Regions from separate parts of the Mus musculus genome. Here all the other regions are reported to be linked to region 4. Evidence: microRNA targets listed by miRTarBase, many of them from high-throughput screens and not tested one by one. Region 4 holds a microRNA gene; each other region holds the end of a gene's coding sequence. Distances are from middle to middle.

Region 1 (4,066 bases), not on the chromosome of region 4:
GGAACATACACAAGTGTCCACACAGAGGCATGCTTGCTGATCAGTGGCCATCCCTCAAGAGATCTGCCACCAGTAGCCAGGGGGTGCATCAGTTGCCTCCTGCAAGGGCTGGGCATGTACTGTGGGCTGGAAGGTGGTGTAGCTTTTGGTAGCTCGTTACTCGACTCGGGCACAGAGGAATGATGTTGACACCTTGCTTGCTTTCTTTACCTGTAAAATGGGATGCAAAGCTATGCTCATGCAGAGGCATGGGGAACTGTGTTCTGGGTGGTAGATCTGAGCTTGTAAAAACTTGAGTTCTGCTCCCAAATGGACAGGTTAAGACAACTGAGGGTTTTTTTGTTTTTCTCTCAGGAAATTAAACAGAAACAGAAAGCACAAGATGAACTAAGTAACAGGCCCCAGAATCTTCCTTTGCCAGACGTGGTTCCTGATGGGGAGCTGCACCGTGGCCAGCATGGGATCCAGCTCCTCAATGGGCACGCACCCGCTGCTGGCCCCAACCTCGCTGGGCTCCCACAGGCCAACAGGCATCACGGACTCCTGGGCGGCGCGTTGGCGAACTTGTTTGTTATAGTTGGGTTTGCAGCCTTCGCCTACACGGTCAAGTACGTGCTGAGAAGCATAGCACAGGAGTGAGGGTCACAAGCCACAGCCTACAGTTGCTGCCGAGGGACACAGGGCCAGAGCTTGATGCCGGCGTGAAGGACGTGCTGGCACAGGGTGGCCTGCCGGACTCCCGGGCTTCACTTTTTACAAACCTTAAAGAGAAAGCAAAAACCAAAATGTGATCTGGAGGAGACTGGTGGTTCTCAACTCCCTCTTGAGGTTGACTGGACGGAGCCACTCGCGCTCTGGTTTTACTGCTTATCTCCTGTGTTGTCTTTTGACCCTGTTTAGTAAACCTGTTTTGTTGGTTTTGTTTTGTTTTGTTTTTCATTTTATTAGATTTGGTCACTTAAAATATAAAACTTTAATGCCTATCAAATACTCTGTGTGTGTTCTTAGTGGAGGAGCTGAAAGCCTCCTGGTGGGGCTAAGTGGGCCGGCTGGTCTAGGAGAGGACTGATTTGATCTCATTGTAAAATTGCTTCTGAGTGAGAGAAGACTCACACAAAGTGCCGGTTCTGCTTTCTGTTAAGGTAGAAGCAGCAGCTTGCTCTCTGACCACAAAGTGCTGCACTTAGAACCGTGGCTGAGGACTGTGGTGAAGGACTGTGGGTAGCCCAGGTACTGCTGTCAACCTTAGTACCTCTGCTTTCAGCTCCCTTGAGTGATGGAGAAGTAGGAGCCTTGGTAACCCTGGTTCCTTATGTCCAGTTGGCCAGAAGCCGGCCCTCCTATGTTGGCAGACAGTGCACTCCAAGTTCTTTCATATCTTACGGTAGGCTACACCATCCTTTCCGGGTGACCTATGTAAGATGTCGCTCTCTACAGATCATGGAGAGGGAAACTGCCCAGAACACGTCACCAGGCCACCAGTAAGCTGGCAAGCTCCCTTATGGATGTCATCTCTTTGAGATTTTGCTTAATGTACCTGCAGTAGTTGTTTGGGAAGGCTAACATCGTCTGTGTTGGGCATCAATCATCACCAGGGGCTCCTAAAAGCCTTCTAAGCCCACCTCCTTTCAGGGGCCATGGTAAAGCTGAAGTGCTCCCATGTGATGATTACCTGTAATTCAGCTCTGTGGTTTACAACTAGTATGTATATACCATGTAGTCCTCTCCTAAAACGGTCTTTAGTTACCCCTTTGCTCTGAACTCCACGATGTCTGTGTTAATGTCCCTTCCCTGGTAGGCTGTGACCAAGTGCAATGCCTGGCTTGTGAGAAGGGAATGTTGCAGCTGCCAAAAGGTAGATTGACAACCCTTGGTTGGGCCTGTGCAACCTGTGCAGCCTTCGGTGGGTGGAGCCCTACAGACATGTGCTTCCTACTATTGGTAGATGGTAATTTTTCCCTGGTCCCAGAGTGCTCCGTTGCAAATTACCTCAATTCCAAATTGGTGTTTCCTGAAGTTCTTGAAAGACAGAACATTATCGAATTTAGTCCTCTGAAATCTCAGCACCACCCCCAGCCCCCTGGCCCCAGCATGGCCTTTATGGGAGTTTAGGGATTTCAAGACAGGGTTTCTCTGTGTGTCCCCAGCTGTCCTAGAACTCACTCTATAAATCAAGCTGTCCTTCATCTCAGATCCACGTGCCTTTGCCTCCCAAGAGCTAGGATTCAAGGTGTGGGCCTCCATTGCCCAACTGAAAGCTCAACTTTGATTTTAAAAAATTTTTAAGATTTATTTATTTTATTATATGTAAGTACACTAGCTGTCTTCAGACACTTCAGAAGAGGGTGTCAGATGGTTGTGAACCACCATGTGGTTGCTGGGATTTGAACTCAGGACCTCTGGAAGAGCAGTCAGTACTCTTAACCACTGAGCCATCTCACCAGCCCTTTTTTAAAATTTTTAATTGGTTATTTTGTTTATTTACATTTCAATTGTTATCCCCCTTCCCGGTTTTCTCTCCAAAGAACCCCCATCCCATCCTCCTGCCTCCATGAGGGTGCTCCCCCACCCAGTCCTGCCCCACCACCCTACTGCCCTTCACTGGGGCATCAAGCCTTCACAGGACCAAACTCTTAACAGCTCAGAAGGAAAGAAAATTTTAGGAAGTGCTTGTTCTTAGGGTAGAAGTAAAAAGCAGCCTGCTCTCTGGCCACAAGGTGTCGCACTTAGTGTACGACTGAAGAGTGCTGTGCCGGCTTGGCAGGTTAGCCCCAACACTTCTCCCAGCTTTGAGTGCTACAGGACCCTAGAGTGTCCACTGTGTGTTCCGTGCTCTGACCCCCGAATAAAAGGTGGCCTTTTTAACCATTGGCTCAAGCATGCCTGCCTTGTTGACTTGTCTTGGGAGAGGTCACTGACTGGGGCAGTTGGCATCCAGGACTGCCCTCTATTAGCTCTTCCTTAGGAGGTGAAAACCTCTCCTAAAGCTCACATTCTGTTGTTATTCAAAGAAAGGGGTACCTTGGAAGGGAACTTTCCCACTTGGCCACTTCTGTTCTTCCCTGAGAAAAAGAGCTCTCAGATAGTCTTTGGGAGTTTTTTTCCTTAAATTTTTTATTTCAATGCATTTAATAATCAAACATTAATGGGTATTTTGAGAGTCAAATAATACATAAAAAATTTTGTTCAACTTTCATATCCTTTCATCCTAAAAATATCATTAATGAACATTTAATACTATCCATAACTGAGGATCCTATATTTAATATTGAATACTAAATTGTTTCAAAACATACAAAATATTCTTTGGGAATTAAGCATAGTATTAGAGCATAAAATATTAAAATTGAATCATTAAGAGATATATTCAAAAGCCCTTATACCACCTGGCATAGTAAGAGAGTATTAAAAATGCCTTATATATCTGTGTACATTGTCTTAACTATAAGTTTACTTAAAAAAGAATATCAGTGTTTCTAGGAGAGATTATTTTATCAGTAAGTATATTTTTAAAATTTCAAAATAGTGAAAACTCTTCGAAGTTAAACATTAAGAAAATGCTAATTTCAAGCACAGTGAGAAAAATTATCAGTAATATTTCCATTTTGTTTGTAGAACATGATTTTAATATTTTCAACAAACAATTATTTTAAGATATAGTTCATTGTTATGTGTCCCTTTTCATTTCTGATTTTATTAGTTTGGATACTGTCTTTGTGCCCTCTGGTTAGTCTGGCTAAGGGTTTATCTGTCTTGTTGATTTTCTCAAAGAACCAGCTCCTGGTTTTGTTGATTCTTTGTGCAGTTCTTTTTGTTTCTATTTGGTTGATTACAGCCCTGAGTTTGATTGTTTCCTGCCTCTTCTCCACTTGGTGTTTGCTTCTTTTTGTTCTAGAGCTTTCAGGTGTGCTGTCAAGGTGTCAAGCTCTCTCAGGAATTTTTTTTTTTTTTAAACAGGGCCTCATGTAACTCAGGCTGGACTTTAATTCTCTGTCTGCCTCCTAGGTGCTATTATTTTAGGCCGGAGTAGCCTTTGCATCTATAGTGAGCCACCGGTTCCTGTTTT
Region 2 (4,066 bases), not on the chromosome of region 4:
CTCAGGAGCTGGGGTCAGAGCAGGTCCTGTGCTGTGTGGAGAGGGTATGGAATGCAAGCAGCAATGCTGTGTGCATGCGCCTGGTGCTCAGTACTGCCTCCAGTGGTTAGTCAGGGGTCACCACCTGGGGCAGGAAGAGAACAGGGAGCGAATTGGTCCTTGAAAGATGCGGGCACTGTCTGCCCCAAGCAAGTTTAAGCAAAAGGGAGGGCTCAGAGTAAGAAGGGTGGCGTCTGCTGTGGCTGCAGACGCGGCACAGAGGACAGGGTGCATCTAGATGATGTGGGTGAGTCTTCTAAGAAGGAAGCATCATCGTGGATGGGAGAATCCGCACAGGCTTTTTCCCTGAGAAAGAACCCGGACCAGCATAGCAAAAGCCAAAGCATGGCGTCTCTCCTGTCTGTCACTCCTGCCTCCCAGCAGTCAGGTCCCACCCCCCCCCACCCCCCCCCCCACCCCCCCCCGTCCTTACCTTACTCCCCTGCCCCTCATGCCTGTTCCTGGCCACTTGAAGAGCAGTCTCTCTCGCCTCTCTCACAGGGAGCTCTGTTCAGCAGATTGGCCTCAGTGTTCCTGTGATCATCATCAAACAAGAGGAGGCCTGTCAGTGTCAGTGCGCGTGCCGGGACTCTGCGAAGGAGCGGGCGGCCGGCCGGAGAAAGGGATGTTCTTCCCCACCCCCTCCAGAGCCGAACCCCCAGCCTCCTGATGGGCCCAGCCTGCAGCTGCCACCCTAGACTTCTCCCTCATCCCTGCCCCCCCCCCCCCCCTCCGCTGGACCCTCTTCCTGTGAGCACAGCAGACAGGCTGAGGCTCCTCAGACCCTCCGAAACGTTAAGTGCCATGGATGTGTCAGAGTTCCTGTCCCTCCAGAGCCTGGACACCCCGTCCAATCCGGTTCACAGTGAAGCACTACTGCAGGGGTAGAGGAAAGAGCCTGGCCGGCAGCTTCTCCAGGGGAAGGGCCTGTGCGCACACCCCTCCAGGAACAGGGTGAGCAGGAAGTACCGGCTGTGATGCTGCCGTCATGGGGTCAGAAATTGGAAGGATGAAGAAATCTGCCATCTGAAAGCTCACCTTTCAGACGTATTTTCTTTACTCGTATCCCAGGAACATCCATTTTAAGGAACTGATCTTTGGAGGAAAAAACAAAAAACAAAAACAAAAAAAGAAAAAAAAAAGCTAAGTTATAAGTGAACTGTCTGGCTGCACTGTGTGTCACTTTTGCTTATTGTTATGTGAACTTGGAAACTAAGGTTACGTGTATGCATAAAAGTTCTAAATGAAAGGGTGTGGTTTCCATCACTTTGGTACTGCCCATCATTTGCACTGGGGTCACTGTGGATTGGGCAGGAGAGGCCACTGTGCCTGCCGGGTGTTGCTTCTCTTCTGTGTCTGTTTAATCCGAGGCAGTACCTGGAGGGCCAGACCACCGCTCTATGAAAGCGGGGAGTGGCAAGGGCAGGCGTGAGTTAGACTGGGTGAGTTGCTTTGTTGTTGGCACTTGGTTTCTGTGGAGCTTGGGGTAGATGCAGAGGGGGCTGCCCTGTGTCCTGCTTAGTCCTAGCGGGCAGCTGCAGGCCTCCTGGCCAGAGGGAAGATGTGGTTCTGCAGGGCCCCGAGGCAGTTGTTGACAGCTCTGTTGATAATGTGCTAGACCCTAGAGCTATCTAGCACAGCCACAGTCTTGCCTTCTTGGCTCTTTCCATCTCTCAGTGCTTGTTAGTGCTTGAGGCTTGAAGTTCATCTCTCCTACGGAAGCGCCCTGTTTTATCCTAAAGTGAATGAGAGGCTTCTGGCCAGTGGCTGCCAGGGTCTTCCTGCCTTCGATGATGTTTGCTTCCTCAGAGCAGAAGGGCTGCTTTTCCAGAGAAAGTGCAGAGCTAAAGGAGTTAGATGGTGAGGCAGCAGGTGGTCGGCAGGCATTCTGGTACCCAGTTGTAGCCAGGCTTTGGTTATCCTCTCCCAGCTGCATGTCTCATGTCTCTTAGATTTGCATACAGCCTCATACAGTGCAAAGGAAGATGTGATCTCTAAACAAAAAGGAATAAAAACCTAAAATGATGATATTCTACTCAGGGTAAAACAAACAAACAAACCCCTTCCACCAAAAAGCCTGAAGCTTGCAGTCAGTTTACCTCATTTGGAATGTTTTGTTGAGTTGTGTTACAGGAATTTTTTTTTATTAGTGTATAAAATTATACCCATCTCCTTGCCTTTGGCTCCTGGTTATTGCCTCTTCAAACATAAGTACAATCTATAGGAGAATGGGGGTGTGGCTGTCCTTCGGCTGTTTACTGTAGCCATCAGTGCTTGGCAAGGTCAGAAGGTAGCTGGGTCTGGGACTGGAGGAGGCGTCTGTCTCCAGCAAAGAGCAGGGTCTGGTGCCCCAACAGGACAACCAGAGAGCTGTGTAGGTTGCCCTCCTGCAGTCTGGACCTTTCCTCAGAGCCAGCTAGGATGGTGACCCTTGTCTTTAGGCAAGGTATTTAGGGACAATTGGCCAAGAGGGTCATGGCAGCACTATTGAGAAATGGCACAGGTACAAGCAGCTGATCTCCCATTCCAGGATTGGACCAGGAGTATGAATTTCTGATGTTCTACACCCCCACACCCCACACACACCCAAAAAAGGTTGATGGATTTGGGCAACCATAGACCTCAGCAGGAATCTGCACGGTGTGAGGAGCCCCCTGTTGGCGCCGTGGTTAGTCCTTCTGGGAACCAGCTGCTTGGGTGTAGATTGTCCTCAGCTGTCTCTAGGACTTGCACTCACAGGAAGCTTTGCACTCGGGCCCTCACTCGTTTCTCTTCTCTGAGGAGAGCAGTGAATGGGACCCCCAAAGTGAGCTTGTAACAAGGGGTAGTAATGGCCCTCCCACTCACTCTGCCTATGACACCCTGGGAGCTGACATAGGAAACAGGAGCCTAGGGAGGATGTATGGAAGGTTTCAATGGTTTAAATATGGCTTCTTGGTTTGCTAGGGCTGTGCTCTTAATGGTCCATTCCTAGGTTATTGGCTTTTCACCCTCCACAGTTGGCATGGTGAAGAAACATTTGAGCAGTGTTGAGGCTGAAGTGTTGCTAGGTGAAGGAGCTAAGTGATTTTAGAACACAAGAGACTCTCAGAACCTAAGAGGTTTTGGAAAGTGAGGACTCTGCTTGCAGTTGGTGGTTGTGGAGAGCCAATGTGTGAAACAGGGTAGACAGACGCTTCGGCCATGCTTGTACCAGTGGTCCTTCCCCCATCTTTCCACAAGCCCAGCCTCTAATGCTAAGGACCTTGGAGAAGAGGGAACCTCCTGGCTAAACTAGAACCACGAAGACCCTTCATGGAGTGGTTTCGCCAGGGAATGACCTTAGGGTAAGGCCAAGAAGAGTGAATTCTGGCAAGTCGATTAAGCCTTTCCTTCCACGACAGCCATCACCACTGTCACCCTGTAGACGAGACTTGGGTTACCACTAGCATCTCCAGTTTAGCCTCTTCCAAGAGACTAGTTGGCAGCAGGGCTGATGGACCTAGGAGGTGGTCAGGTGATCTTGGTCCCACCCAATTGCCTTATAAATGTGGTCCTTCCCAGGCAGGAGGGTAAGGCTGAGAGAAGAGAGCTCAGTGCCCTTGGGCAGCACTAGTTTGGCCACAGGAGTACTGTCCTCTGTTGACTTTGGTTCATAAGATGATGGTACAATGCCAAGGAGAGGCTTGGGGTGTGGAGAGCCCTCTAGGTAGAAGGCAATGGGACTCCCCTTCCCTTTCAGAGTCAGTGGATGGGAAAAGGTTGTTTTCCGGATCAAGGCAGTGGGCTGATGGGGTAATGGAGGTGCCTGAGTTTTGCCTGAGGCTTTGTATTATGCTGAATGTGTCCAGAGGGACAAATTTGCAGAACCTCATATTGATATTTTAAATAATAAAATAAAAAGCACTTTAGGTTACTTTTATCTTTAACCCAATTGCTGCAATTTCTGTTGTGTATGTATATATACATATATATACTTTCCCCAAAGTTTTATTTTTTGCTCAGAATAAAAGTTAAGTTGAGGTGTAAAAAGAGCACTTACTTGGGT
Region 3 (4,066 bases), not on the chromosome of region 4:
GCAGGGGTCATGCTAATTATCTCTGTATCATTTCAGTTTTACATAAATATACTGTCAGAGCAAGATGGTTTTATTAAGTCCGTGCTGGTCTCAAACTGAAGGTCCTCTTAGCCTCCTGTGTGTTGTCTGTGGGGATTATAAGCACCACACCTGGCTACTTCCCACTTTCCTCCCAAGACAGGGTTGCTCTGTGTAAGCCATTGGCTGTCCTGGAACTCGCTCTGTCCATGAGGCTGACTCAGAGATCTGCCTGCCTCTGCCTCCCAAAGACTGGGATTGAAGGTATGTGCCACCAGTCCGCACTTCTTACCCTTTTATTCAGCTTAACATGCACGTTCTTAGAGTTGGATGCTCATACATGTCCATTTATTAGTAACGCTGGAGGGAGTGGCTGCTCTGTGTTCAGAGGCTGCTTCCTGAGTTTTTGCCAGCGACAGGTATCCTGGGTGGTTGGTGGCATCTCGTGTCTTTGTACTACTTGATTTTTGTATAGACAGTGTTTGTGATTTAATGTAAACTGTCTTCCTTGTTTGTAGTGATGCTAATTTTGTTTTCTTTCCCTCTTCCCTTACAGGTTGGTGACATTGTGAAAGTCACAAGGATGAATATCAATGGCCAATGGGAAGGCGAGGTGAATGGGCGCAAGGGGCTTTTCCCCTTCACACATGTTAAAATCTTTGACCCTCAGAACCCCGATGACAACGAGTGATTGCTGTGCTGTCCCTGCTGCTGCCTCCTTCTGCCTGTCAGTCTCCTTTGAAGTGGGAAGCACTCTGTCACATGCAAGTTACACCGAGCTGCTGGCGGTCAGCTTTCCATACATTGGCAGTCCCTGCACATACGGAATGCCTCAGCAGCTGCCTTGCTCGCTGGCTCGGCATTTGTATCATAGTCATGCTGTCAAAGAGTAGCTGATTTAGAGTTCTTGTGGATTGTGAACTGGAAACACTGGTGGAAGCACACAGTAGAGACTGGAACCCAGAGCAGCTCTTCCTTCCCATCCATCACTGCCTTGTTTGTACTGGAGGCTGACAGAGAGAGCAAGCAAGCCTGCTGATGGTCTGCATGGAGACGGTGAGGCTTGGCAAGGTCTCGCTTTGCTGGTCCACAGAACAGTGGTTTTGCCACCAACTCAGTTTTCTTTGGACGACAGAGGAAGTAAAACTCCAGACAATTCTGTCCCGAACTCCTCAAGTCTGGCTGGTTTTCATTTTCTTTTGTTTAGTTTTGTTTTTTGGAAGACTAATTAATTATAGTTGTGTGTTCTGAACAGATTTTTAAATAGTAGGTTGGTCTATGATGGTCTAAGGAACAATCCATGTCTCTGAGCTTCCAAACTGAAGCCACTGTACGTAACTAAAATAGGAAAAGACCCCCTCCAGGGGCCTTTATCTTTTGGTTGCCACAGTACCTTGTTTACCATGTGGCAAACAGTGCACAGCAGCAGTCATGGTGTACCTTGCTGTGAAGCACCAAGGTGGGGGTGGGCCTGCTGTCATCGCTGCCTCTGACAGGAGCAGACAGGGTGGGCCTCTTCAGTGAAAACGTTTGAAGTCTGTGGGCTTACTAGATCCGTGAGTTAAATTGCATTGCTGTGTTCCACCACAGAGGCCACCCAGCCCTTCCTGTACTGACCTAGCTTGTCCAGGCAGCTTGAGAGTGGTGTCTGTTCTGGTTCCACAGCCTGAGTAGAACCAGAATACAGTGCTTCTGAGCAAAAGAAGACGCCCCTCGATCATGAGCCATTTTTCCTTGCATGTCAGCTACTACAGATATGTGTCTGATCCCTCATCCACACATGGCAAACCAGAGCTCTAGAACCTTTCTAGAGTGCACTCTTTTCAGTTGGACCCTGATGAGGATACACCTCCACACAGAACGAACGTAGCAGACCTAGAGATGGAGTAGTGGCTAGTGAGCAGCTCTAGCATTTACAGAATATCTTCTGTAACCATGGCCCTGGTTCTGCAGGCCTGAGGCTTTGAGAACTAATGGAACATATTCAGGTGACAAAACCAACAAAACCCTTTGTCCACTATATTTATTTCTCTTAAAGACTTTAAATTTTTGTTTATGTTGGGCATGGTGGACACACCTTTAATCCCAGTACTCAGAAAGGCAAAGGCAAGTGGATCTCTGAGAGTTCAAGGCTATCCTGATCTATGTAGTGTGTCACAGGACAGGCAGGCCTACATACATACCTTGTATCAGAAGATGGCCCAATCCCCCCCTCAGACCTCCCCCCAAAAAAAACTGTATATGGGTGTTTCCACTACATGTATGTATGTGTATCACATGGGTAGTTTGTTAGGAGGCCAGAAAAGGGTGTTGGTTGGATCCTCTGGAACTGTGGAGTTACTCTGTGGGTTCTAGGAATTGAACCTGGGTCCTCTGCAAGAAGACCTTAACCACTGAGCCATTTCTTGAGCCCCATTAGTTTCTCTTTAAATCAGTAGTCCATCAGGCTAAGTTCTATAGTAAAGAATGTTCATGTGACAAAGTAATGGTCATTTGGGGTATGGGGAGTGTCACGTCTGTAGAGGTTACTTCTTTTTGTCTCTGAAAGCTGCCATTTCTAGCCAGACCTATTGAGTGGACTTAAGTGTTCAGGCCCCAGACTCTGCCTAAATCAAGATTTAAGACTTGCCTTCTGGCCAGTTACACAGTTTAGCCCCAGGCCTTTGATGTCTCCACTGGAATACACACCTTGTTCACTGAGGGCACAACCCCCAAGGGATACCCCATCACTGGGGCCTGAACCTCATGCCTTACACGTGCTAGATAACCGGCTGCCAGTAAGCTTTTGAAATCCGAGATGGGATCTCTATAAATTGCCCATGCTGGCTTCAAGATTTCCATCCCAGCCTCAGCTGAAATTATAAAGGTTTGAGTCACCACACCCAGCTCTTAAGGTCTTTTAAAACTACATTTAACTGAAGGGCTTGGTGCCTTTTGATTATAGCACCTTGCTTAGCATAAACAGCCATTTTTGAGAACAGGGTTTCCCTTTTCCCAAGACTGTTGACCAGCAAGACTCTAAGGAATACTTCATGATCAGAATGTCCCATAACCCTGGAGTTTGCTTTATGTAATCAGTTAATTTGGCACATGTAAATGTCTATGCAGCTTCCTCAGAGATCCAGATCTCAAAATAAAGACTTAACTTTCTGAACTCTCAGGATACGTGCGTGCGTGCCAACAATAGTAATTCTCTGACTTAGAAGCTCATCGATTTTTAATCATGGAAATCTCTCTCACTGATAGAAAGCAGCATCTTCCCCAAGTCCCACTCTTCTGGGAAGACCCTTGGTTTCAGGGGAGTACGATGGAGGCTTCCTTTTCTCATCATCAGTGCTGTGTGGTCTGCTCTGCCATGTTGTAGAAAGTACTGGGATGATAAACCCACTTGCTATGGCTGTTGTATCTGAGAAGGAAACAATTAGGTAGTTGAGGGCTTTAAGGGCTAGTTAGTCCTGGGTGACAGCCCCCCACCTCCACCTCCAACCCCATACAGAAGGCATGCTTGTCACTCTGCACTGCTCTGATGCCACCTGTTTCGAGGTTGACAGGGTGTCCTGGCTTTTGTCATCCAGACGTAACCCTCTGTGCTCACTGGAAGAGACTCTGCCCTCTTTTCAAGTTGCACGATCCTGGCACTGTGCCAGCCTTCCTCTACAGCTGTTTACAGACAAGATGGGCCAAGACTGATGGCCACTGCTCTTGTAACCTTTACTCAAAAGAATAATGAGCATTTAAAAAAAAAAAAAGGGATGATGTGTTTTTGTTCCAGGTGTTCATAATTTAATCTTTTAATATTATGTTCATTAACCTCTTAAAATGAGTGAATTCTTGATTGTTTTAACACAGTACCTAAGACTAATGCTTTCTGTGGACTCCTCACTCTGGAACCAGTGAACCCCTCCCTGGTTAACTGCTGTGAGCGTGGACGCTGAGCTGCTTGTATATTCTGAAGGAGCAGGAGGACAGTTCTGAGACAGGAGGACAGTGGCCTTGCTTCTAGACGGTCTTCACTGTGTGTTTTAAAATGACATAAAACTCTTTTGAC
Region 4 (4,066 bases):
GCCAATGGCCACCCGGCCTGCGATTCCCGGATAAGGAAATCTGCTCACCCGGACCCTACTCCAGCCAAAGAGGTTTATTTCCCCTTCTCTACCCCTCCCCACCCACCCAACACCAGGATTTACATAGGGCTCCCGCGGGGAGACCCCCTCCTCGCCTGGCTTTCTCCACAACAGAGAGGGGTGATGAACTAAGAAAGAGTGAGCAGGTTAATTGGAGGGCCTGTTTGGGGGTGAGGGGGCTGGGCAGAGCACAAACCCTGCATCCCTCAGAAGTTGGGGCTGCGGGTGTAGCCCCCACCCCTGCCCTACCTAATCTCCACCAACCTTTCTCTGACTCCCATAGGGCCCCATCTCCTCCCCAGGATAAGAGGGAGCTCACGCACTAGGTGTCTGTGTGGGGTTTTAAGTGGTTGGCCGACCAGGGAGCGCCTTCTTGAAATGGGTACCCACTAGGTCATAGGGGCGCTGAGCTTGGGGCTTCTCAGTGCAGCCAGATGGGGAGGGGTAGGAGGTGAGTGAGGAGGCGTCGGGAGCTAGAAGGCGGGTGCGCAGAGGGACTTGTCAGAGATGAATGGAACCGCGAGCAGATCGATAGGAAATTCACGCACTAATTCGGGGAGACTTCGCCTTCCAAATCGCATTTAGCTGCACTATGAGCATCGGCTGTGTCCGTCAGTCTGTCCTCCTCAACACTCCCTCCCTTTAACCCACAAGGCCCAAGGTCAGAGGAACGGCTGGACTCCCTCCACTAAAGACAGAAGATACAATGAAACCAAACCAAACCCGCAAGTTCCTAAAACCAATTGAATAGTAATTTGCTAATTCCAGATTCGTCGAAGCAATGCTAACCAAGAGTTCTAATTGCCGCTAAAGCCGCCGCCTCTGTCAGTGTGGCAGAAAGAAATTTCACAACCTTGAATACTAAGTAAAGGAGCCCTAGCTGTGACGCCCCCACCAACATCACACGCACAAGAACACCCATGGCAACCTTATGTTTTCAGGGCATCTTGTCTTGAATTCAACGAAACAGCAATCTTCGCATCCTTTTAAAAAGCAAATTTCCTTTGCCTTTGCACACTGCAGCCTTCAGCAATCTTTTTTTCCTCCTCATGATTTCCAATAAAGCCCCCTGGACCCAGAATAAGAATAGGTAGGTTGGGGCTTAAAGATAAATTTTAAAACACCAGTAACATTAATCTCTTGAGTGAACAAGGACCCAAGCTTCCAGGGGTGTGCATGGGGACACCTCAGGTAGATGAGATTTCTCCCTCATTGGTTGAGGGAGGAAAAGAAAAGGAGTCTTCTTGAAGGCAGTCACTGGATTGTCCTCATTTAGAAAATAATCTATTTTTCTTCTGGGAAAGAATATGAGCGGAGTGTTTATGTCAACTACATATTCCCCTAGATACGAATTTGTGACCACAAAATTCCTTACACAAATTCGGATCTACAGGGTATATACAGAAGACAGACAGGTCTTCTTGGCCCAGGAAATTTCCAGTTCTCTTACTTTCCGTGCGTTCTTCTTTTGGGTGTGATCTGAATGTTTTCATTTTTATTTCGTTTTGTTTTAATTTTGAGATCTGGGAGCAGAAAAGTCACTGTGGGTCCGTTCTTGGGATTACAAGGGGTTTCAACTTTCTATTCAAAAAATAAAATAAGATTTTTTAAAAAGGCAGCTGTTGTGCAAAGGGACTCGAACCTCGTGGCTGCCGCGCGACTTTCGGTGGCGCATGAATTATTAGATGTAAACATTAGCTAAGCACAAAAGAAGGAAGGGTCATCCCGAGGCTGCCTCGAAGTCAGAATCAGGCCTTTCTGGGTGCCCTCGGCCCCTCCCCTCCCCCCATGACTTTTTTTTTTTTAAGAAAAAATACAAAACCCCAAATAGGTTCCTCCCTTGCCCCCACAGCCTTTAGTTTGTGATCAAACACATATATAGATATTTTCCAAAGCAAAGGGAGGAGGGAGAGGTGTCTGGGTGTGAAGGGGGTGTAATAAAAGTCCTTTTGGAAAAAGTGAATGCTAAAAAGAGAGAGAAAAACAGCTGTGAGGAAAAATGCTGGGAGACCAAACAGATGGCCCCCCCCCCCATATTTAATGACGGGCAATTCCGTTTACAACCTGAGAAGAAGATCAAAGGCAGTTCATTTCCGAATGAAGGGCAATGAGGAACCATAAAAGTTGCAGCCAGATGATGTGCAGGCCCCTCCCAACCTCACATATCCCCCCCATACCTCCTGGAGGCTGGAATAAGGGGACACCCCCCTAGAGGTGTGAGGAGGACCCCCCCTACCCACACCTTATCCCCAGGCAAGGATCCTCTGTCTAGAGGCTCACTAACTGGGCCCATCCACCTGCTTGGGTTGCTGGCTGTGTGGCCAAAATGGGATTCTGGAGTTTTTGGGTGAACTTCCTGAAGCTCCCACTAACATTTGACTTTTCTAAACTGAAAAAATGAGAAATTGAGGATCTGGAGTTTAAACTGGGAGAGCTGTGACCAGGTGAGGGCAAGTGTGTCCAGCAGAGTCTTTCTCACTATCACCACCGCTATAACACCCTAGGCTTGGGGGATACTTCTGCCCTTACTGAGTAAATTACAACACAGTCAATTTCATGAACATACACAAACAAGCCAAACCCACGCATGCACACACCAGGAACCCTTGCAAATGGGCAGGAGAGCTCCCACCTGCAGGCAACTGGGTCCAGAGACCTCAGTCTTTGTTGTTGTTGTTGTTGTTGTTGTTGCTGCTGCTGCTGTTATTGTTAAACCTCATAGATCTAGGCATGGCAATGTTGTCCTCTGGGTTTGTTTTCTAACCCCAATGCCCTCCTATAGGCCAGACTCATACTTAACTGGAGAGAGAGTCAGAGAAAATACATTGTAGTTTTGATCTTCATCAAAGACGGGGTTCAATTTAGTCACCCATAGACAAAGTGTGCTGCTTTGACCCAAGCATCAAGCAAGAACAGTCCTCTCAAAAGGTATTTAGAAGTACCACGACCCACTCCAATGTCCAGGCCCCTCCCCTATCCCATATCTCCTGTCCTGCTCTTGAATACTGGTCTAACTCTGTTTCAGAGAGCAGCTAGTCTACATTTTGCTGATCTATGCTTTAACAAGGGATGTGGCCCAGGTTTCCTGAGCTCCAAGGGAGAGGAATAGGGATAGAGAGATGCAAAGCTGGGTATGGTTGAACCTAGGGCCGGAGCACTGAGATTTTCGCTTTTGCGAATAGGAGAGCCACCACCTGCCCTCCCACCAAGGCGCAGCTGCAACCCCCATCCACACTCCCTCCCTGTGTAGACGCCAGGGGCGGAAGACAGGATTTATCTGCAACTCCAGGACAGGTTTCATTGCAGCTACACGCAGCCTCACCTCTCTATGTCTAGAATACCAACAACAATAACCATAACAATGAAAACACGCAGAGCCAGGGGCTTGGGCACGCTCTCTGCCCTATCTCTAGTGCTCCGGATCCTTTAGAGGCCACTTGGCTGCCTTCTCCTGGCAGCCACAGGTTGCTAGTGTGACCCCTCGCTGCCCAGCCCAGCCCTTCTCCGCCATCACAGGCCTACCCCCGGCGGCACAGAAAAATCATCCACCTTTTATGGACGAGTTGGAAGGGAAACAGAGAGGAACAGGAACCCGAGGGCCAACCGGAGGTCAGTCTCTAGCGGGTCCGGGCACCCCAAGCGCGTTGAGCATAGCAAGGGCCTGAGCCGGCAAGAGTACTCACCCAGCCGCTCCCCGCCTGCTCCAAGCCGACCGGCCGTGGCCCGCTGAGCAACAGCGGAGCTCGCTCCTGTCCACTATTGTGTATCCGGAAAACCGAACCGCGGCTGCGGGCAGTGGAACCACATGCCCCCTCGGAGGCCGGAAAAGGACTTTTTTTTTTTTTTTTTTGGTGTGTTTTTGTTTTTGAAGAGCAAGTTTTCGTATTAATCTCATACTTTGGCAGTCTTTGTTAAACAGCAGGCGCGTCACGAGGTTCTCGAACATTTTAATAATTTTTAGACGCCGTGACCTGCGGTTCACCCCTCTCCGGGCCTCCCCCACGAG
Region 5 (4,066 bases), not on the chromosome of region 4:
TGAAGAAGAAAATTCTGATAAAGACTGTGAGATCATTGAAATTTCAGAAGATAGTCCTGTAAACCTAGATTTCCATGTCAAAGAGGAGGAAAGCAATGCATTACAATCTGCTGCAGAGACACTGACATCAGAGCGGATGAGAATGCAGTCACCGGAGCTCTCTGCAGTAGATGGTGGCTTTAAAGAGAATGAAATTTGTATCCTCCATGTAGAATCCATTAGTACAGATGATGTAGAAAATGGGCAGTTTTCACAGCCTTGTACCTCATCCAAAGCAGGCATATATTTCCCTGAAACACAGCATTCATTGATCAATTCTACAGTTGAGAACAGAGTGACAGAAGTTCCTGGAAATACAAATCAGGGGTTATTTTCTGAGAATTCTGATGGAAGTCATGGTACGGTAAATGAGATCCAGAATCTGGATGAGAATTTTTCCTTGAGGCATCAGTGCCCCAGGTGTCCAAGGGGATTTCTTCATGTAGAAAACTATCTGCGACACCTTAAGATGCATAAACTCTTTTTGTGCTTGCAGTGTGGGAAAACATTTACACAGAAGAAAAATCTTAATCGGCATATTCGAGGACACATGGGTATAAGGCCCTTTCAGTGTACTGTGTGTTTAAAGACCTTTACTGCTAAAAGCACACTTCAGGACCACTTGAACATACACAGTGGGGATCGGCCATATAAATGCCATTGTTGTGATATGGATTTCAAACACAAATCTGCTCTCAAAAAGCACTTAACCTCTGTTCATGGCAGGAGCAGTGGTGAAAAATTATCTAGGCCTGATCTCAAACGGCAGAATCTACTGTAATCAAATCAATGACTTTTTTAGACACATTTTATAAAAATGCAGCACATGTAGTGTTGCCCCCCACCCAATCTGTATCATTTATTTTTGTTCTTACATGTTATTCATTCTGAACTTCTAATAATTCCAAAGTTGGTGGTGTGATTAAGTTTATGAGATTCTACATTGTCTCAAACATTATGTATTAGTCCTCTGTTCAGGAGTAATTGCAGATTCTGATTTGTAGTTTTTAGATAAGTGATTTATTGTTGACCTATATAGAATTTTAAGGAAGTAAGATGGCAAGAAAATAGATTTGAAAGCATAGTGTTGCACATCGCTATTAATATTGAAAGCAGATAGGACTAGCAGTTTTTTTTTTTTTTAATTTAACCAGTGTTCTTGATTTATAACCAGAACACCAAGGTACTGTCTTAAAACTAAAGGAGCACAATTCAAATTCACATGGGGCCAGCAAAATGTCTTTAGAAATACATTACTTAAATGTCCAAAAGAATATGTGATTAGACCCTTTTCCTGATTATATATATTGTAGCCTCCCTCAGCCTTGAAGCAGGCTGATCCAGACTTTGACCTTGCTGCCACTAAGAAGGAGAGGCTAGAGCCTTCTGACCTTGATGGCTCTATTTGCTCTTCTCCAAGACTGCTTCCTGCTGAAAGGTCTTTGAGACCGTCCGACCTGTAGATCACCTACTGGCTGGCTCCAGGCACCAAGAATGGGCTGGCAGGGAATGGGCCTACCCTCTTTATAAGCATGGACTCTCAGTAAACTTCAGAGGCTTTGAACAGAAAGGTTTGTCTTGGCCTAGTTCTTTTCTTGCCTCTGGTCTCTTTCAGCCCCAGCACGCCTTTCAGGGGAACCCAGTTCTCGTTCAGCAGGCGGCTACAATATATAACATGGTTGGATTAAGAACTCTGGCCAATGCAAGTATTTTCTTAAATTGACAATTTTCTTAGATTGGCAAGTTACTTTTCTTAAATAGTCCACTTTCATCAAAGACATTGTTACACTGTTTACTTAGGGTTTCTTTTGGTGTTTGTTTTGGTTTACATGCACTAAAATTGACCTCTGTGGAATTACATTTCTACGAATTTAGTACATATCTAATTGTCTGCAATTGGGACACAGAATAGTTCCACCAGCTTCCAAAATTCCCTTATGCTGCTCTTTTGTAGTCCACCCTTTCTAACTCTAAATTCTACTAAGAGTTCTTCATTAATATAATTTGTTCTAATCTGAGGTGATAATAAAACTGGAATCTTATGTTCCCTTTTGATATTTTTTAACCCCACATAGTGCCATTGAGCTCGATTTATATTTGTGAATATTTGTGTATATTATCAAGTCATTAAGTTTTCATATCTCTTATTTTACTTTTGGCATGATTTGTGCAGCTCGGGCTGGCCTCGAGTTTGCCTTGATTCTTGAGCACTGAGATTATGTCTTTGTTTTGAATTGCCTCTGTATGCATTTTCTTTTCGAGCAGTCATCAGGTGAATAGTTTTAATTTTTAAAAGCTACTAGAATTAGTTATAATGTCTCATTATATGTATGAATATCTGTACATTCAATTTTTTTGTCCTTACAATGAAGAGCAAAATTTACTGCCAGGCAAATCACCTTCTCTGACCACAAGAAGTCACTTTCAAACTGTCCTATTTCTCTACATAACTCAGCTCTGTGTAGAGTTTCTACAGTATTTAAGTTTTATTGACTCTTTTCTATATTTTAACATGTAAAATACTTTGTACTATATAAGAGGTTTGTGAAAATTATGTGGTATTATATATAATTTTTGTGATACTTTTGTGGGAATAATGCTCTACATTGAATTTTTAACTCTGGGAGAGACTTTAAAGAATATAAGTCTCAAAGTCACTTCATAAACCAAGTCACTAATTAATCACATTAAGCAGGTCACCTGTCCTTCAACATTCTTTTTGTTTTTTTTTGTTTTTTTTTGTTTTTTTTTTGTTTTCGAGACAGGGTTTCTCTGTATAGCCCTGGCTGTCCTGGAACTCACTCTGTAGACCAGGCTGGCCTCGAACTCAGAAATCCGCCTGCCTCTGTCCCCTGAGTGCTGGGATTAAAGGTGTGTGCCACCATGCCCCGCAACTTTTCTTAATTTTATATAAAATAACTTTGATCTTCCTAATTTGTAGAGTTATTTCTAAGTAAATTTCTACAAATTTATATTCTTCATGTGAACAGAGGAGACATGTCTTTTCAAACACTGCTATTTGCTATTTGAGTACTCTCTTGGAAACAGAACTTTTTTAAAAGTAAACATTTTGTTCCACTTTATAATGGATTGGTTCAGTGGCTAATTTCCTTTCGCACATAACTTAAGAATGGCCAGTTATAGTTGTGAGCGTATTCCCCTCAGAGAAACAGTTTGTGACTGAAGTGCTTCTCTTATTTTTGCTTCCTGAATTGATTTTTGGAAGGGAGGGTTAGGGATGGGTGGAGTAAACAGTGAGTTCTTGGGGGAAGTGGTATGTACTATACTGGGTGTTCAGAACATTTTGAATGTGTTTTAAGTTTTATTCGTGCCTTGTAAGATTGTTGTAAAATCAAAATTTGTGAGCACTTTGAAAGTTTTGCTTGTGGGGAGGGTGTTTTATAATGTGGTTGTTATTTATATTATTTATTTCCATTACGTGGACAAATTGATCCTAGGAGCTGGGCAAAGTGCACATGCCTATAATTCTAGCACTTGGGAGATAGAGGCAAGAGATTCAGTTCAGGGCCAGCCTTTCTTATATATAGCTAAGTTTTAGGCCAGCCTCATATACAGGAGACATTGTTTTAAGGAAAACAAAATAAAAAAGTAAAACAAAACAAAAACATTCCTGGGAGAGCATCCGCTTGCATGACATTTCTGAAAAATTCAGCAAAGTAGAATCTGTAAAGATATGAAGGTATGACAAAGTAAAGTGTAGCATTTATTCATTTTAAATACTTTTAGCTGTTTGTTTATGTCAGAAAAAGCAGTATATTTGGGTTGAACCTAGTATGTACTGCATTTAAATGTGTAAAAGATCTTGAAAAGGTTGTTACTTTGTTGTAGAGAAAATCCTTTCCTCTTTTCATTGGATGTAATTATGTTTGTATGAAACAATAAACCGGAGGTGGGAATGGAGAACTTTGGGCTTGTGTATTTCTATGAATTTTAAAGGAATCATTTTCTCTTTAGTAATAATGTTTTTTAAAATTATGTGTGTGGGGTTATGTGTACATAAGATTTA
Region 6 (4,066 bases), 21 Mb from region 4:
TTTTTTGCTTTTTTGTTTTCCTTCAGCAAAGAAGTTGCCATTCTCTGCAGTTTTCTGCTGGGTCTGGGAGACAGCTGCTTCAACACCCAGCTGCTTAGCATTCTGGGTTTTCTCTACTCGGAAGACAGCGCGCCGGCCTTCGCGGTCTTTAAGTTTGTTCAGGTAACTGGGTTGTGCTGCAGTCGGTTTCCTTCCCGTTGTCCTCGGTCACTGGGGGTTTAAATGAATGCTGGGTGTCCTGTAAAGGGGGGTGAGGAGAACCAGGCACAGTGGGCTTGCTTAGGTGAGAGGCTTTAATTCTGGTCTCTGCACTTGAGTGAATACTTCCTTAGGTACCAGCCCCATCTCTCCAGAGAGTCTCAGACTTCTCATCACTTTATTGTACTATTATAGTGCCACAGCTTACTGGATTATTGCTGTCAGGCAAGTTGGGGTGCATTTGTGAGCTGGGGACCAGTGAAGTCTGTCTTCACGGGCACTGCCAGTTGCAGATGTCCTTTGGGCTGACTGTGGAGCATCTGAGGCCCCAGCATCCACTTGGTGATTTATCTTGTTTCTTCTAGTCAATCTGCGCAGCCGTGGCCTTTTTCTACAGCAACTACCTCCTCCTCCACTGGCAGCTCCTGGTCATGGTGATATTTGGGTTTTTTGGAACCATTTCTTTCTTCGCTGTGGAGTGGGACGCTGCTGCCATCGTGGCCCGAGGCTCGGACTACCGAAGCATTTGATGAGAAAACAAGTGTCTCCAAGAAACACAGCTGGTCACATGGCAGCTGGTTAAATCCGACGGCCTGTCAGTCTCATAATCGCTAAAGCGAGAACGGAGACTGTGAAATCGGGCGGGGTTGGTAGTAAAGTTTACATATCCTAGCGGCACACGCTAGCGGAGGAAGGGAATCCCGCTCTATCCGTTACAGCTGTTCTGAGATGTTCGTCCACCCCCTCCCTCAGTTCCTCACAATCAGGGCTCCTCCATCCTCATTCTCGAGGAACGATCCAGCCTGGCTCGCCATGTGTCACGAGATCCTTGCTGGCTGTGGAGTATGCCTCACTCTTTCGAAATAGGAAGCAGATGCCACTCCATGTGTGGGTCTGGGAATGACTTTCTGAAACACAGCAAGGATGCTGAGACACGTTGTTTTGAGACAGGATCTCACTGCGTAGCCCAGGCTGGTCTTGGACTTGCAGCCCTCCCCTGCCTCCAGTGTTGGGGTTATTGCCCAACACTGGATTTAAAACGCTCCAATCCTAAGAGTTAGGGTCTTGATATGCAGCCTTGGCTGGCCTGGACTTTGTATACCAGGCAATGCTCCTGCCTTTGTCTCCAGAATGCCTGGGTGGTGAGAATATGCTACCACACACCGCTGAGACTTCAACTTCTCCTAAAATGCTTTGTTGAACAAGTCTTACCTTGTCACTCCCAGCAAGGGGCTGGTTATGTGTAATGAGGTAAAGACTGTGTCATTTGTCAACTAATAAAAGCATATTTAGAGAAGGAAAGAGTATTTACTGGGAGGGGGAGGACTCATGCTGTGGTTGTCCTGACCGTTACAATAAAGAAAACTCCGGCCATCCTCTGTGGGAAAGTGCGTAAGCACTGCAGACTGTCTCCCACAAGGACTGACACTCTTACGATTGAGATATTAAATTAATTAAGCATCTAGATCAGGTCTAACATGTATGTACTGCAGCTTGGCCTCCAACTTGTGCTCTTCCAAGCCACAAACAACCTCTGGCTAAAATTCACCAACTTAGTGTGTATGTGTGGTGTGTGTGCATAAGGTTGTATAACTGCCACCATATCTAATGACAATATTTTATTTTTAAATTCTTTTTTATTTTATTTATTAGTGTATGTGTTTGCCTGTGGCTTGTCTGTATATACATTCTGCCTACAGAACTCAGAGAAGTCAGATGGAGATTGGATCCCTGCGAACTGCATTTACAGGCAGTTAAAGACCACTGATATGGGGTGCGTTCTCTGGTGTCTTAGTTACTTTCCTCTTGTGAAGAGATACCAAGGCAACTTGTTTCGAGACAGGGTTTCTCTGTGTAGCACTGGCTGTCCTTGAACTCACGAGGCTGGAGAATCTGGTTGAGTGCTGGGATTAAAGTGTCCACTATTTCTTTGTTTTGTGTCGATGTACCTTGACGGATGTATTCGCCTAGCTTTCTTGTTTTTCTTCTGTATTAAAAGTCTGGTGCCTGCTTGGAAAAATTACATTAAGATACACAGTCAAGGGCTGGCGAGATGGCTCAGTGGGTAAGAGCACCCGACTGCTCTTCCGAAGGTCCAGAGTTCAAATCCCAGCAACCACATGGTGGCTCACAACCATCCCCAACAAGATCTGACTCCCTCTTCTAGAGTGTCTGAAGACAGCTACAGTGTACTTACATATAATCAATAAATAAATCTTTAAAAAAAAAAAAAAAAAAAAAAAAAGATACACAGTCAAAAAAAAAAAAAGGTGTGCACTACCAATGCCCAGCCAAGGGAACTTGCTTAAGGGTTTATTGGCACTTAAAAGTTCCAGAGGGTAAGTCTGTGACCATCATTGTGGCAAGCATGACAGCGGGACAGGCCTGGGGCTAGAGCAGTAGCCAAGAGCTCACATTTTATCCACAAGCAGGTAGCAGAGAACTAACTGGGAATGGCTTTCTGCTTTAGAGAATTGTCTTTATGTAACTTATGTATATAGATATATGTGTGCATATATGTACACCAGAAGAGAACTTCCCATGGGTCTGCCATTACAGATGGTTGTGAGCCTCTGTGTGGATGCTAGAAATTGAACTCAGAACCTCTGGGAGAGCAGCTGCTGCTCTTAATCATGGAGCCACCCCTCCAGCCCACTTCCAGTGACACTTCTCCCAATCCTTCCCAAACAGTTCCTCCAACTGGGGGAGGGGGAGGAGCATTCAGCTGTGTGAGCCAGTGGGGACCTTTCTCATTCAAGCCAGGACAAACCCCAAGTGCTCTCAATCCTCAGCCCGCTCTGCAGCCCCAGGACTGCAGAACTGTCTTGCATTGTCTCAGCCCTCAGCCCGTCTCAGATGTGGCAGGCACTAACAACCTTCCTATGTCTGGACCTGCTGGATATTCCATAGAACAGAGCCTTCCCTTTAAACGTGACATTTATCTGTCCACAGTACAGTGAGTCCAGCTCAGAGAAACATATCTTGTTTTCCATCACTTTGGGGTTGTTGGTTTTTTGGAGTTTGTTTGGGTTTGTGTTTCTCTCTCTCTCTCTCTCTCTCTCTCTCTCTCTCTCTCTCTCTCTCCTTTCCCCTCCCCTTTACAACCTCCCCACTCCCCTTCAGAGTAGCCTAAACCAAACTGGTCTTGAACTCACAGAGATCTGCCTTCCCTCTTGAGTGCTGGAATTAAAGGCATAGCCATCACACCCAGACCTGTGACTCTGAAACATGCCATGAATCTAGAAATTGTGTAGTTGGTTGGATGATTTGGGGGTGGGGGGCAGGTGAGATTTATTCTTATTATTGATTAGGTGTGTATGCTTGTGTCAGTGTCAGAAGGCAGAGGCATGGGATCCCCTGGAGCTAGAGTGGCTGTGAGCCACCCAGTGTGGGTGCTAAGAACTGACCACACTCACATCTGGAAGAGCAGTGCACACCCTTAACCCATGAGCCTTCTCTCTAGCTCCGTGCTTCAGTTCTTGAGATAGGCTATTGTATAGCCTAGGCTCTCCTCCATCTCACTATGTAGCATAGACTGACCTCACATTCCTCCTCCTCCTGTCCACCTTCTGAATGCTGGGATTACAGACACGCACCACCATGCCTGGCATTTTTGAGTATTTGATGGTAGGGTAGGAATCCGCAAAGCCCTGCTGTCAGCCGCAGTCCTTATAGAAGTCCCCTGTGTGGAACGATGGCGTCCTCCCTGGTTGTAAGGTTTGTTTTGTAAGGCAGGGTTTCAGGTAGGCAAAACTAGCTTCAGATTTGTTATGTAGTTGAATTTGACCTTGAACCCTGGTCCACCTGCTTCTGTTTCCAAAATGCTGGATTACAGGCTTGCACCGCCATGCCAGGCTGAGGTCTGGCT
Region 7 (4,065 bases), not on the chromosome of region 4:
TGTGTGTGTGTGTGTGTGTGTGTGTATGATGTAATAAAAATAAAACAAACCAAGACTTGTGGTGGCACAGCACAGGTCTATAATTCCAGAAAACAGGCGTAAATGACAAGGATCTAAAGGTTCTCCCCAGGGAGTTCCTGGCCAGCCTGGGATACATGAGACCCTGCCCTCGCCCCCTCCAAAATATATTCCAATAAAAATTTAGATCATCCACAAGCTCCAGGTGGCAGTACTGTCTCCCACCCTGGGTAAGTAATTTTTGAAAAAATGGAACCAGAGACTCTGAAGGGTCAGAACTAGGCTCAAGGTAAACGGATTTTCCCACAGGCAACAACAGTGTGTCTTCTCTGGATTTCCAACAGAGGGCAGCAGAGAGCCAGGGAGCAGCTGGGAACTTTAATATCACCTGGTCCTGGCTTAATCACACCCTGGAATCTACAGACATGCCTAGGGTGCTTGCTGTGTTCACTGTGCAAGCGAGGCATGCTGGGTCACTGAAGCCACCCAAGGAAGATCAACTCAGAGACACTGTGCCCACGCAGGAGATTGGCATGGGGCTGCCACCTGCACAGATGGGGCTACCTCGGGGCCTCTGATAGAAGATCTCCAAGTACCAGAGGAAGTTGGCAAGCATTTTGAGCAGAAGGGATAGAAGTGGGAGGGTTTGGGCTCTCAACCCCACCCCTGTCCCCACCTAGTACTACCCCTAACCTGTAGCCCCAGCTACATTCCTGCACTGATAAGGGGTTCTGCCTGTGGCCTGGATCCACGCAGGTCCTCACCCTGTCCAGCCTCAACCTCTGTATGTGCGTGTGTGCATGTGGATGTCAGGGCTGGCTGCTGAGTGTCCTCTTCTGTTACCCTGCACTGCCTTGCTGTTTTGAGATGGGGGTCCCACTGAATTGGACACTTGCCTTTTCTGCTAGGCTGGTTGGCCAGCAAGCTCTCAGGATCTTCCTGTCTCTGTCACCCCCAATTTGGGTTCCAGGCATGCGCAGCTGTGCCTGCCTTTGTTCTTGGGGATTGGACCCCAGCTTCACCTGTGTCCAAAGCAAGAGCTCTTAGCCACTGAACCATTTTCTCAGGACCCTCACCTTTGTTCTTGACCAACCGAGTACCCTGGGTTTTGTCTATCTCCCAGAGGGATGGGTCACGCCCATAATCAATCCAGCACTAGGAATGCAGGAGGACTGTTGAGGCATTTATTGTCATGACGGAAAGTGGATGCAGGGAGGAATGTCTGGGAAGGAAAGCTTACTGGCTACATCCTCCAGGCCTTTAGGAACCTTGTTAAAAATGGAGATCTGTCTTGTGCCTACTTGACCACAGGTCACAGCCTTTACGAGTGGAGGGGCTTGGGCGTTCCCCTTACATGACTGATGGTCACAAATCTATGGGGGTGGGGCTGCTGCTAGTGACAGGCCTGGTGCCCTGGAGCAGGTAAACCTCCTTAGGTCCCTTCAGGCTCTCCTCGGCTTCTAGCCTTAGCTCAGCCGGGGACCATGGTACCTTTCAAGGTCCCATGCTTTATGGAGCAAGAGTGTGGGGTTAAGAGCAGGAGCAGCCCTACTGGAAGGTATGCATGCAGTAGGGATGGCTTGTGTGTGGCTGTGTACATGGAGCCCCCTCTCTGTCCTTTCTTGGTCTGTGTACATCTACCCAGTCCCTGACACAGGTGGAGTTAGGGCAGAGTTGTAAACAAGTGCTTGTGAAGAGTGGCTGGACCCTCAGGTGAGGTGGCACAGCCTCCTTATACCCCCTTCTTCTAGGGAACTCAAAGGTCAACAAGTCCTTTCTGTGGTGGCCTTGTGCCAGCGGCACAGCAGAGCTTCGGGAGAGGACAGCCTTGCACATCACCTGTCACATACAGGCCCTTACATGCACATACACAGCTCCTGACATCTGCAGACAGATCTGCACATCCAGGCACACCTGAGCCCACAATACAGTCACACCTGCATGCATGCAGACACACCTGTTTATACACAGGAAGCTCTACACACATGCAAGCACACGTGCTTACACACACACATGGACACACCTGAACATATAGGCACACCTGTATACAGCACACATACTGGGTAAACATACCTGCAAGCACACACATATGTGCACACAATTTTTTTCCTTTTTTAAAACTGAGACAGGATTTCTCTGGGTAGCCCTGGCTGTTCTGGAACTTGCTCTACAGACCAAGCTGGCCTCAAGCTCAGATCTGCCTGCCTCTGCCCAGCCAGTGCTGGGACTGAGGTGTGTGCCACCACTGCCTGACATGCACCAGTTACATGTTTTGTTTTTGAGGAGGGGAGGGGTTTGGTTGGATTTTTTTGAGGTTTTGTTTTGTTTTTTGAGCTGAGGACCAAACCCAGGGCCTTGCACTTGCTAGGCAAGAGCTGTAACCCTGAGCTAAATCCCCAATCTCCACGCCTAATTACCAATAAAAACCCTGACTCTAGTTGATGTAAAAACAAAATAGCATATCAGCTGATAGTTAGAATCAAGAGGGTAAATTTTTTAATAATTTATTTATTATATATAAGTACATTGTAGCTGTCTTCAGACACACCAGAAGAGGGCATCAGATCTCAATACAGATGGTTGTGAGCCACCATGTGGTTTCTGGGGTTTGAACTCAGGACCTCTACTTTCCAGCCCCACCCCACCCCCCACCCTGGGTAAATTTTTAAAGGGGACACAGGCATCTAAGAATGTTCTAGTTTGACCGGGCAGTGGTGGCACACGCCTTTAATCCCAGCACTTGGGAGGCAGAAGCAGGTGAATTTCTGAGTTTGAGGCCAGCCTGGTCTACAAAGTGAGTTCCAGGACAGCCAGGACTACACAGAGAAACCCTGTCTCAAAAAACAAAACAAAAACAAAACAAACAAACAAAGAATGTGCTTGTTTGTTTCTTTTGAAGCAGGGTGGTCCTAGGAATTGAACCCAGGGCCGCCCACACTAAGCGTACACGACACCACTGAGCTACAGTCTCACCCCACCACCCGAGCTCCCTTCCACATAAGGTCACTGAATCCTCATTAAGACAGAGACAAAAGGAGTGGCCAAAAAGACACCCAAAGAGCCAAACCCAAAGAGGCAAAAAGAACCTGTTATCCTCGAGGCCCATAGAGGTCAGAATCCAAGTCCTTTTAGCATCCAGAAAGAGACACAGTGAGTGGTAGATTTGTATTTGTGGTGTCATGTCTCTATAGCGATCAAAACACCAGGAGGCGCTGCCCCTGACACAAAGGCCTAAGAATTAGGGTTACTACCCAGGCCCTAGGTTGGTCTGCATTTGGCCACAGCGGTCGGTAAGAGGGATATGTGTAAGAGGAAGGTATCCTCGGGTCAGGAGTGATCATCATTTAGGGATGTAAACTAGAGAGACACCACTACCCCCCAAAGCCTAAATTCAGAAAGGCTCAACAAAAGAAAGCAAACCTCTGGCTTTGCCCAAGAGTAAAGCTGAATTTAGGAAACAGGACCAGAATGGATAGGGGCTAAGCTACTTGATAGCCACAGAACCTGGGTTGGGGAGCCCGGAATTGTGCTAAGAATATCAAAGAAGATGCGAGGATTCGGCTTCTGTCGGCATTGATCAAATGCTACCACGCATTGGAGGCCTCGGTGATCCAGGAACAAAAACAGAGTCAGATGCCACAGGTGGTACGAATGTTCACCAAGAGGCAGAGTCAGGTGGGGGGACACAGAGTGACAGCCTAGGCTCTAGGTCCCGGGTCCTGCTCGGGCTCCATACCAGGGACCCCTCGTATGTCCGGCAGCAAGCGACAGCCAGCCACGATATCCAGGCGCTCGGCGAGCGCGCAGAGGTCCCCGCGCGCCAGGCGCACGCTGTGGGCGGCTGCCAGCCCGGTGGCCTGAGCAGCCGCCAGCCTCCCCGCCAGGGCGGCCACATCGCGACCCGCACGGCGGTACACGCCGCTCACCGCAGCCGCTACGTCGTGGTCCAGGCGCGTCTGGCTCTCAGCCAACCGGAGCTGCAGCAGCGAGCGCGCAGGCGCCATGGCAGGGGTCTCCTCCGTGCCCCAAGTCTCCGCCGGATCGCGC

What was found. The annotated mature microRNA mmu-miR-10a-5p reads UACCCUGUAGAUCCGAAUUUGUG and lies in region 4 at 1,435-1,457, opposite strand. An mRNA with a match to its seed (bases 2 to 7 or 8) in the 3' UTR can be bound and repressed. Matches are read on the target gene's strand: a 7mer-m8 pairs with bases 2 to 8, a 7mer-A1 pairs with bases 2 to 7 and ends in A, and an 8mer does both.
Region 1: miRTarBase lists Ube2j2 as a target of mmu-miR-10a-5p. Seed matches in the 3' UTR shown: 7mer-m8 at 719-725 and 7mer-m8 at 2,123-2,129.
Region 2: the mRNA of Mtf1 is a reported target of mmu-miR-10a-5p. Seed matches in the 3' UTR shown: 7mer-m8 at 989-995, 7mer-A1 at 2,077-2,083 and 8mer at 3,199-3,206.
Region 3: miRTarBase lists Crkl as a target of mmu-miR-10a-5p. Seed matches in the 3' UTR shown: 7mer-m8 at 1,521-1,527, 7mer-m8 at 2,996-3,002 and 7mer-m8 at 3,566-3,572.
Region 5: miRTarBase lists Zbtb6 as a target of mmu-miR-10a-5p. Seed matches in the 3' UTR shown: 7mer-m8 at 2,801-2,807.
Region 6: miRTarBase lists Mfsd11 as a target of mmu-miR-10a-5p. Seed matches in the 3' UTR shown: 7mer-m8 at 2,038-2,044.
Region 7: miRTarBase lists Bloc1s3 as a target of mmu-miR-10a-5p. Seed matches in the 3' UTR shown: 7mer-m8 at 2,847-2,853.

What each region holds. Positions count from the first base shown.
Region 1 is chr4:155,956,727-155,960,792 of GRCm38, forward strand. Ube2j2 (ubiquitin-conjugating enzyme E2J 2) reads left to right here. Exons shown (of 8, transcript NM_021402.6): 8 at 355-2,878. The coding sequence ends at 639. Among named protein-coding and RNA genes, the nearest start is that of C1qtnf12, 3.6 kb to the right of the region's middle.
Region 2 is chr4:124,843,607-124,847,672 of GRCm38, forward strand. Mtf1 (metal response element binding transcription factor 1) reads left to right here. Exons shown (of 11, transcript NM_008636.4): 11 at 541-4,066. The coding sequence ends at 737. Among named protein-coding and RNA genes, the nearest start is that of 1110065P20Rik, 4.9 kb to the right of the region's middle.
Region 3 is chr16:17,483,087-17,487,152 of GRCm38, forward strand. It overlaps Crkl (v-crk avian sarcoma virus CT10 oncogene homolog-like), which reads left to right. Exons shown (of 3, transcript NM_007764.5): 3 at 575-4,066. The coding sequence ends at 709. Among named protein-coding and RNA genes, the nearest start is that of Aifm3, 6.8 kb to the right of the region's middle.
Region 4 is chr11:96,314,577-96,318,642 of GRCm38, reverse strand. It overlaps Mir10a (microRNA 10a), which reads right to left and starts at 1,478; the gene lies at 1,369-1,478. It overlaps Hoxb4 (homeobox B4), which reads right to left and starts at 376. Exons shown (of 2, transcript NM_010459.7): 1 at 1-376. It also overlaps a transcript of Hoxb3 not described here.
Region 5 is chr2:37,425,397-37,429,462 of GRCm38, reverse strand. It overlaps Zbtb6 (zinc finger and BTB domain containing 6), which reads left to right. Exons shown (of 2, transcript NM_146253.5): 2 at 1-3,963. The coding sequence ends at 820. Among named protein-coding and RNA genes, the nearest start is that of Zbtb6, 3.5 kb to the left of the region's middle.
Region 6 is chr11:116,873,218-116,877,283 of GRCm38, forward strand. Mfsd11 (major facilitator superfamily domain containing 11) reads left to right here. Exons shown (of 13, transcript NM_178620.4): 12 at 27-162; 13 at 564-2,443. The coding sequence ends at 728. Among named protein-coding and RNA genes, the nearest start is that of Mfsd11, 21 kb to the left of the region's middle.
Region 7 is chr7:19,503,298-19,507,362 of GRCm38, forward strand. Bloc1s3 (biogenesis of lysosomal organelles complex-1, subunit 3) reads right to left here. Exons shown (of 2, transcript NM_177692.4): 2 at 2,507-4,065. The coding sequence ends at 3,717. Among named protein-coding and RNA genes, the nearest start is that of Bloc1s3, 3.0 kb to the right of the region's middle.